Linked DNA regions of Caenorhabditis elegans. The protein of the gene in region 1 interacts with the protein of each later gene in a pairwise test. Each region holds a gene or a part of one and is shown in the gene's direction. Other genes may lie near its edges. The genes, in order: rpt-2 and pdr-1.

Region 1 (4,337 bases):
ATTCAAATAATGTGATGCGTACTTCTGCTTTCTGCCAAGATTTTAGATCAAAAATTAACTACGACTCAAAAACTAGGTGAAAGAACAAGTGTGTGCTGGAGCAAATTGATGGATACTTGAGAGAATGAGTGAATCCGCGCGGAAACATTTCCCGCTGTCTCCGCCTTCACTGCCCTTGTTCAATGTAAAACCAAAAACAATGCAAAGTATAGTGGATGGGAAGAGGAAGAAGTATTGGGCAGAAAACATGAAGAGGACACAAACATCTACTGTACGAAAATGATTAAACTTTGAGAAAACGGAAGTGATCGAAACAATTTTGACTAGTTTAATCATACTTATCGAAATTTCAGATAAATGATATTTTGAAATTCGACACCAACAAGAAGGTGAACATTGTGCTTTGTAATCTAACAAATGACAATTCCGGCAGAGGTGCCAATCATTCCTACATTCATTCCGTTCGAACTGACATGTTACACTGCCAACGTTCGCATATTACCCCCCGTTGAATTATCCTTGAATCCACCTTTCCCCTGTTCGTGTTTTACACTCATGTGCGGGAAACTCGGCAAAATTCACATTAGCTCACCTCGTCTCGGAGTTGTGATAATCATCCGCTTCGAAACCTGAGAAAGTTCAAAACTTTAAAGAAAAAATTGAAAAAAGTGTAGAAATAATGCAAGTCATGCATTGAAGTTTCCTAACAGAAAGAATACATAATGGAAGATTGAAAAATGAATGTTTTCTTCTCTTATTCACATGAATATTATCACAACCAGACACATAGCCAGGATAAATAAAGTAAGGTGGAAGTATTTGGTATTTACGGAAGCTTTCAAAGTCAATAAATTATGTTACTATTATCTTCATTATCCCAAACCGTGATCCTCGAAGAATCCTTGTGGAGTTTCTTCTTCTTGAATGAGATCTTGGGCAGCAATCGCCTTCAAAACTTGTTTTTTACTGGTTTCCTGGATTTCACCAGCCAGTAAAAATTCGTCGAGTATGAAGTAAGCTTTTTCGAAGTTGAAGATGATATCCAGCTCACAAACACTTCCAAAATATTTGTCGAGGAGTTCTACGTAACGATGAATGACTTCCAAAGTGATGAGCTCGTTGTCGTTTTGTTCGATGGCGCAGCAGAAATACAGAGACGCGTATCTGAAATTGTTGAGATTAAAAATTGAACGAATTGTTAAGTTTTTGTTTCATTTATCACAAAAATGTCTATTAAACAACTAAATTTGACGCCAAAATATTTTTCATGAATAAAAAACGTAATAACTTCGGATTTAGGTGTGTAACTATAATTTTCAAGAAATTTTGATTATAAACTTGTAAGTTATTTTCAGAAGGAACAATTTTAAGGCATGACAGGAAATGGGAGTTGTTACTTTTGAATATAAAATACGAACCGTTTGTAGACAACTTTCAAATCCTTGTATTCGAGGAACGCACACATTTTCGGTTTTCTCGCCAGAATTTGAGTGATGAGTTCGCGGCAAATTTTCTTCTTTTGCTGAAAATTGAGTGTGAAATTACACATATGAATAGGAAATACACTTACCTTGTCGGGGTAAGCAGTGTACCATTTCTGCAGCCGCAGTTTGCCCTGGCGACTGAAGAGAAGCATGTATTGCATCATGTTTACTGAAAACAAGAGTATGAACAATCGTTTGCAAACTTTAAAACGCTGAAAATACTTAAAAATCAATTGAAAAATTAGATTTTCTGAATAAAACAGACATGTGGCTTCGTCAATAAAAACAACGAAGCTCCGAAAATACGAAACCGCGCGTTGTTTAGTTCTCACCAGAGCGCGCTTGCATTGTCATCATCAACGCTGTATTTTTTTAAATCATTCTTCGTTCTACTTATTTTATATCTTTCAATTGTTTTCTTTTTCAAACGTGGACTTATTATTTTTCATATAAAATCATTATTTTCTAGAATGGGGCAACAACAGTCAGGTTTCGGTGGAAGAGGAAATGACCGCGGTGCCGGAGATGGAGAGAAGAAGGAAAAGAAGAAATATGAGGCACCGATTCCATCTAGGATTGGAAAGAAGAAGAAGGGGTCTAAGGGACCTGACGCCGCTAGCAAACTTCCAGCTGGTAAGTTTCAATCTAGTGTGTATTTTAACTGATGATTCGGTTTTAGTCACACCACATGCCAGATGCCGTCTGAAGTTGCTGAAGAGCGAAAGAATCAAGGATTATTTGTTGATGGAGCAAGAATTCATTCAAAACCAGGAGCGTTTGAAGCCACAAGAGGAGAGACAAGAAGAAGAGCGCGCCAAGGTGGACGAGCTCCGTGGAACACCAATGGCAGTCGGATCACTTGAGGAAATTATCGATGATCAGCACGCCATTGTTTCAACTGTAAGAATCAATATATCGATAATATTTTCTTATTTCAATATTTAGAACGTCGGAAGTGAGCATTACGTCAACATCATGTCATTCGTCGACAAGGAACAACTCGAGCCGGGATGTTCAGTCCTTCTCAACCACAAGAATCACGCCGTCATCGGAGTTCTCTCCGATGATACAGATCCTATGGTGTCTGTCATGAAGCTCGAAAAAGCACCACAAGAAACGTATGCCGATGTTGGTGGTCTTGATCAGCAAATTCAAGAAATTAAAGAAGCAGTTGAGCTTCCACTGACTCATCCTGAATACTACGAAGAGATGGGAATCCGGCCTCCAAAGGGAGTTATTCTATACGGTTGTCCTGGTACTGGAAAAACGCTACTTGCCAAGGCTGTTGCTAATCAGACGTCAGCTACTTTCCTTCGTATTGTTGGTTCGGAACTTATTCAGAAATACCTCGGAGATGGTCCAAAGATGGTCCGTGAGCTCTTCCGCGTTGCTGAGGAGAATGCACCATCAATTGTGTTCATTGATGAAATTGATGCTGTTGGAACAAAACGTTACGATTCGAACTCTGGTGGAGAACGTGAAATTCAGCGGACTATGCTTGAACTTCTCAATCAACTTGATGGATTCGATTCCCGTGGAGATGTTAAAGTTTTGATGGCCACTAACCGCATCGAATCTCTCGACCCTGCTCTCATTCGTCCAGGTCGTATTGATCGTAAGATTGAATTCCCCCTGCCAGATGAAAAAACGAAGCGCCGTATCTTCCAGGTTGGAACAATTTTTTCTAAACATTATATGAAGTTTTTATTTTCAGATCCATACATCTCGAATGACACTCGGCAAAGAAGTTAACCTCGAAGAGTTCATCACAGCAAAGGACGAGTTGAGTGGAGCTGATATCAAGGCTATGTGCACAGAAGCTGGTCTCTTAGCTCTTCGCGAGCGTCGTATGCGTGTCACGATGGAAGATTTCCAGAAGTCCAAAGAAAATGTGCTCTACCGTAAGAAGGAAGGAGCTCCAGAAGAACTCTATTTGTAAATGTGCCCCGTTTTATTTATTTTTTTTGTATTTTCTCTTTCCCAATTTATTTTATTCCCTTTTTGAACGTCCCGTTGCACAAAAACCGATTTAATGTAATTTTAAATCTGGATTGATTGAGGTAAATGATTCATGATGAAAAATATTCGTTTATGTGACATTGGGATTGATGGTTGGTAAGGAAAGTTCATGAATTTAATGAAACTGAAGAAGAAAAAAATGGAGAAAATCGACTTGAAGATTTACCAGTGAAGAAGTTGATGGTTTCGAAGAATAAGAAAATGATGTTACAGTTGAATGTATTTCTTATCACAATAATTGGAAACGGAAAGTTGGGGGAATTTCAGTAGCTAAAAGTGAAACTATAATGAGAAAAGAGAGAACTGGCTGAATTTAAAGATATGGAAATTGGATAGAAAATCGGGAAATTGTATGAAATTTTGTAATAATGAGAGCTGGACGGGGAAAATTACAAATGCACGCTACAGAAAATGATTTGAATCGGAATCTAGAGTGGTCGGAGATCAGCATCCGGATGTGGTTGAATCGGGGTTGGAGTTGAAACGAAGTTCATTGTTGGCTGACCAGAAGGTGTCAGACCAGTGTTGGAGGAAAGCAAGTCGAATGGGCCTGGAATGAAAATCGTTAATTATATTTTGAGAAATAAAAATAACACTTTTTAGCCCGGGATGAAACTGGAAAAATTTAAGAAAATTTTCGTATATTGTAGAAATATCGGCATTTGAATTAAAATTATGCAAATTTCTGGGTCTTGGCACGCCAACAACTTTCCAGCTACCGTACTCGCAATTGTAGTTCCAATTTTAACATTTTTTATATTTAACGTTGAGTTTTTTCAAAATATTCCAATTTTTGTATGATTATTGCAATATTGATATCTCAAAATACACGTG
Region 2 (4,478 bases), on another chromosome or scaffold:
GGGGCGTGGTATGCACGGGAGATGAAGTTTGTTGCAGCAACTACGATGGACAACCTGGTGACAGTCTCTGCATTTCATTGATGTGGCGAGCTTCAGGGCTGTAGCACATTTGTCGCATTTTCGCATCTGAAAATCAAAAAGGTATTAAAACAGTGTGGCAATTCATGTTTAACAGAAAAAATAGGAATTCTTTGTTCAGAAATAGATGTTTGCAACATGGGGTCCGAGACGGACGCGCCTCTTCATGATTAGCATGATTTTCATCACTACAGAGCTCACTTTAAAGAAATTTGTTAGCATTTTTTACACGTACCGCTTTGATTCCTGCCTCTATAAACGTGTGTGGTCTCATTGCGATGTCACGAGTTGTTCCATTAGTCCACGCCGGCGTGCCACGTTTCAGGGTTCGGATATCAAGTGTGCTTTTGGTGAGAATGGCGGACGACATGCCGAGGCCGATGTTATTTGTGGTTTGTCCTGGTGTTTGATCGCATGATGGAATACTTCCACAGCTCAAGCTCCTGCGGGTGAGCTGGCGGTGAAGTGAGACACGTGGCGGGTCCTGGTTCTGAGCTCGAGAGTTATGAATAGTAGTGGTGGTGGTGGTAGTGGTGGTAGTTGTCATTTCTTGATGAGGTGTAGAACCATCATCACGGCATCTTTTTGGAGGTGTACCACCCTCATTCTGAAAGAACAAACGCAATTCAACAAAAACTGTCATGTCATAATTTTTACCGGCTCTTCATCTATAGTAGCTGTCATAACACGGCTTCTGCTCCTCTTCGAATTGGCAGCAGCAGTAATCGCATGTGCTGACGCGCTTCTCCGCTTGCCACCAACTGCGTTTCCAGCAGCTGAGCTTCTTCTGACCTCTCTTCCATTGCGCAAATGAATAACTTCCTCGAAACTGTCTCCAGTTTCATCGTAATCCACCTCACTATCGTCCTCATCGTCCTGTGTGTCCTCCATCAAATGTGGATGCCTCTGCTGCACCCGTTTCGAGTATGTCCGGACCAGTGGCTCGTGAAGAAACTTGAACTGATCGCGGTCTTCCTTGGTGAGACTATTGAATATACCGTTCTTCATCGCATCTTTCAGCTGCTTTTCACGAGTCTCGTAGACGTTTAGATCGAGCTTCAACGCCTTATTTTCTTCCATCAACGCGCGTAAATGTTTCTGAGTGTCTTTGACATCGATATCGAACATTGCCAGCTTCTTGCGAGCTTTTCTGAAATAATAGTGTTTTCTAAACACGTAAACATGAAATATTTCACTTACGCAAGTGCTTCTTCGGCCTCTCTCATATCTGCATTCAGCCGCTTTTTGGATTCCTCGGAATCTTTCCACAGCTTGCGGAGACGCTCAATCTCATCAATCAAATGAAACATTCCTGAAACACGTCATTAAAATTTGAAAATGATAATTGAAACTAACCTATATCCTTAATATCGAATTGCGGTCGCTGTGAGTTTAGAATCATGTTGAAAATGTGACGCGAGTTTTCGCCGCACACCTTCTCTTTTGATGTACTGGACTTCATTCTAAAATGTGGAAATGATTAGAAAACGAGAAACTCGCCCGAAAATAAGAGAAAAATGCGTGAAAACCGTTTCAAATTTCGTGGAAAACAGTTCGAATTTGAAGCTCGCTGCGTTTGTCTCACACGCGACGCGACCCGCTACGCTTGCCATAGGGCGCACATGACTGCGAGGACTAGTGTGCACAAAAACATGGGGCTTCAAGGCCTCGACTAGTTTTTTGAATTTAATGTTTAAAACTGCAAGCAGGCCCGCTAGCAGGAAATTTTTTTGTTAATTTCTAAGTCAAATTTTCAGCTCTCATGAAGCATGTCTGATGAAATCTCTATATTAATACAAGATAGAAAAACAGGTCAACGTAGGAATCTAACACTTAATGTAGTGGACATTTCAAACTTTGAATATATACATTATTTTTTTCAGATAAATATAACTGGAAATATCGAAGATCTCACAAAAGATGTGGAAAAGCTCACCGAAATTCCCAGCGATGAGCTGGAAGTGGTTTTCTGTGGGAAAAAGTTATCAAAATCAACGATTATGAGGGATTTGTCACTGACACCTGCAACGTAGGTCAAGTAAATATTTACTTATATAAATAACTGGAATTGTTATTTATATAAATAACTGGAATTGTTATTCAAATAATATTATTTCAGACAAATCATGCTTCTCCGTCCAAAGTTCAATAGTCACAACGAAAACGGTGCTACTACTGCAAAAATAACAACAGATTCTTCAATTCTCGGAAGCTTCTACGTGTGGTGCAAAAATTGTGACGACGTCAAGCGCGGCAAACTGCGGGTTTATTGCCAAAAATGCTCGTCAACCTCTGTTCTAGTCAAATCTGAACCCCAGAACTGGTCCGACGTTCTCAAAAGCAAGAGAATACCGGCGGTCTGCGAAGAATGCTGTACTCCAGGTCTTTTCGCTGAATTCAAGTTCAAATGTCTAGCCTGCAACGATCCGGCCGCAGCTCTAACTCACGTACGCGGAAATTGGCAAATGACCGAGTGCTGTGTTTGTGATGGGAAGGAGAAAGTGATCTTCGACCTCGGATGCAATCATATTACATGCCAATTCTGTTTCAGAGTGAGTAAGAATCTAAATTTTTTGTTGAAATTGTTTAATTTTAAAGGATTATTTGCTAAGTCAACTGGAACGATTCGGTTTTGTCAATCAGCCGCCGCATGGCTTCACCATTTTCTGCCCCTATCCAGGGTGCAATAGTTCGTTCGATTTTATCAAAACCATTCAATTTTCTGCAGTAGTGATCCTGAAAACTAATTGATAGAAACAAAAAATCTTCCAAAAAATACAAATATGTTATGTTTCCATTTTGCAAGTCTGGCATGGTTTTTTTTTTGCAAAAAAAACCCCCACCCGTTCTATTTAAATTTATTTTGAAAATTTTCTCACATGTTTCAATAGTTTTTCAATGCCGAGAAAATTGAAAAAAAAAGTTTTAAAGAAATTAAACAGAACATTTAATTGAAAAATAACTTCAGGAGTGGTACAAGATGTGCACCATTTCCACATTATGGGTCAGACGTCGTACAGCGAATACCAACGGAAAGCCACCGAGCGATTGATTGCCGTGGACGACAAGGGTGTGACTTGCCCGAATGTCTCGTGTGGGCAGAGCTTCTTCTGGGAGCCCTATGATGACGATGGAAGATCCCAGTGTCCAGATTGTTTTTTTTCGTTTTGCAGGTATTTTGAGCTTCTAAATCGGAAATTTTATCGCAATAAATATCATCGTTCAGAAAGTGCTTCGAAAGAAATTGTGTGTGCCAGAGCGAAGACGATCTCACCCGAACTACAATTGACGCGACTACAAGGTGATCTCAGCGATTATCCACTACAAAAAACTGTAAATTCTTCCAGAAGATGCCCAAAATGCCACGTGGCAACCGAACGGAACGGCGGATGTGCTCACATTCACTGTACCTCGTGTGGAATGGATTGGTGTTTCAAGTGCAAGACAGAATGGAAGGAAGAGTGTCAATGGGACCATTGGTTTAATTAATAACTCTCTAAAATTCATCTTTTCTAGAGATTGTACGTGTTATTCTGTAGATTTTTACAACAATTACGGTGTGTCTGAAGTTACATTGACATTTTTTCTCTTCAAATTTTAGATCTTTTTCTCAATTTTTGTTGCTGAGTATTTCGCTCATTTCATACCTTTTTTTAAATGTTTTGCCAAATTTCAAAGAACACATTTCTCGCAGGGATCTCCATAGACATGTCAGGACAAGGACCTCCACCAAGTATGACGCCGCAGCAACAACATGTAAGATTTTTTGTGCTTTTGAACTTGAGAGTAAATTTTAGTGAATTTGAGCACATTTTACAACCTTTTTCGGAAAAATTTCACACTTTTCTACGGCTTCATCCTTAAAACAATTGAAGTCAAAAAATGTCTTTTTTTTAATTTTGGGAACAAAAAAAATTAATGAAAATGTACAATCACACCAACATGGAAACATTTCTTGAGCTTCGGGATATATCTCAGTTTTGGAGTGGGCTGAAAATTATTTTTTTCATGAAAATTAAAAAAACAACTTTTTCATGAAAACAAAACTCACCGCATTTTTTAACTGAAATTTGAAAATTTCTCACTCAAATATCCTTTAAAGTTTCATTTTAAGACGTTTTCAGAGCTTTTTTAAAACCATATAACCAAATTTTAAACTAGGAATAAAAAGATTATAAAATAAAAACATTTCAGATGTTAATGCAGCAGCAACAGCAGCAACAAATGATGCGGCAGCAACAAATGCAGCAACAACAAATGCAGCAGCAACGTCAACAGCAAATACAACAACAGGCTCAACAGGTAGTAATATACCGTCCAATTTATCGAAAATTTGAAATAGCACTTTCTGATAAATTTTTTAACGTAAAATTAAAATATTTTATGATTTTTTCCGCAAA

What was found.
Region 2: the proteins of rpt-2 (region 1) and pdr-1 interact in a two-hybrid assay, tested with the Caenorhabditis elegans proteins (one study listed by BioGRID).

Annotation. Positions count from the first base shown.
Region 1 is NC_003283.11:6,015,286-6,019,622, reverse strand, and holds rpt-2 (putative 26S proteasome regulatory subunit 4), read left to right. Parts: upstream 1-1,953; 5' UTR 1,954-1,954; coding exon 1,955-2,117; intron 2,118-2,163; coding exon 2,164-2,384; intron 2,385-2,429; coding exon 2,430-3,152; intron 3,153-3,198; coding exon 3,199-3,423; 3' UTR 3,424-3,574; downstream 3,575-4,337. Other genes in the region: picc-1 (PAC-1 interacting and coiled-coil domain-containing protein 1), read right to left, coding at 593-617; aps-1 (AP complex subunit sigma), read right to left, coding at 873-1,164, 1,419-1,522, 1,571-1,648; Transcription factor fos-1, read right to left, coding at 3,932-4,053. UniProt on the Caenorhabditis elegans protein: The 26S proteasome is involved in the ATP-dependent degradation of ubiquitinated proteins. The regulatory (or ATPase) complex confers ATP dependency and substrate specificity to the 26S complex.
Region 2 is NC_003281.10:13,769,684-13,774,161, forward strand, and holds pdr-1 (E3 ubiquitin-protein ligase parkin), read left to right. Parts: upstream 1-1,835; 5' UTR 1,836-1,847; coding exon 1,848-1,916; intron 1,917-1,961; coding exon 1,962-2,107; intron 2,108-2,197; coding exon 2,198-2,630; intron 2,631-2,676; coding exon 2,677-2,767; intron 2,768-3,046; coding exon 3,047-3,251; intron 3,252-3,304; coding exon 3,305-3,379; intron 3,380-3,425; coding exon 3,426-3,567; 3' UTR 3,568-3,661; downstream 3,662-4,478. Other genes in the region: cyk-4 (Rac GTPase-activating protein 1), read right to left, coding at 1-126, 314-685, 736-1,228, 1,279-1,390, 1,435-1,540; mdt-29 (Mediator of RNA polymerase II transcription subunit 29), read left to right, coding at 3,787-3,834, 4,273-4,380.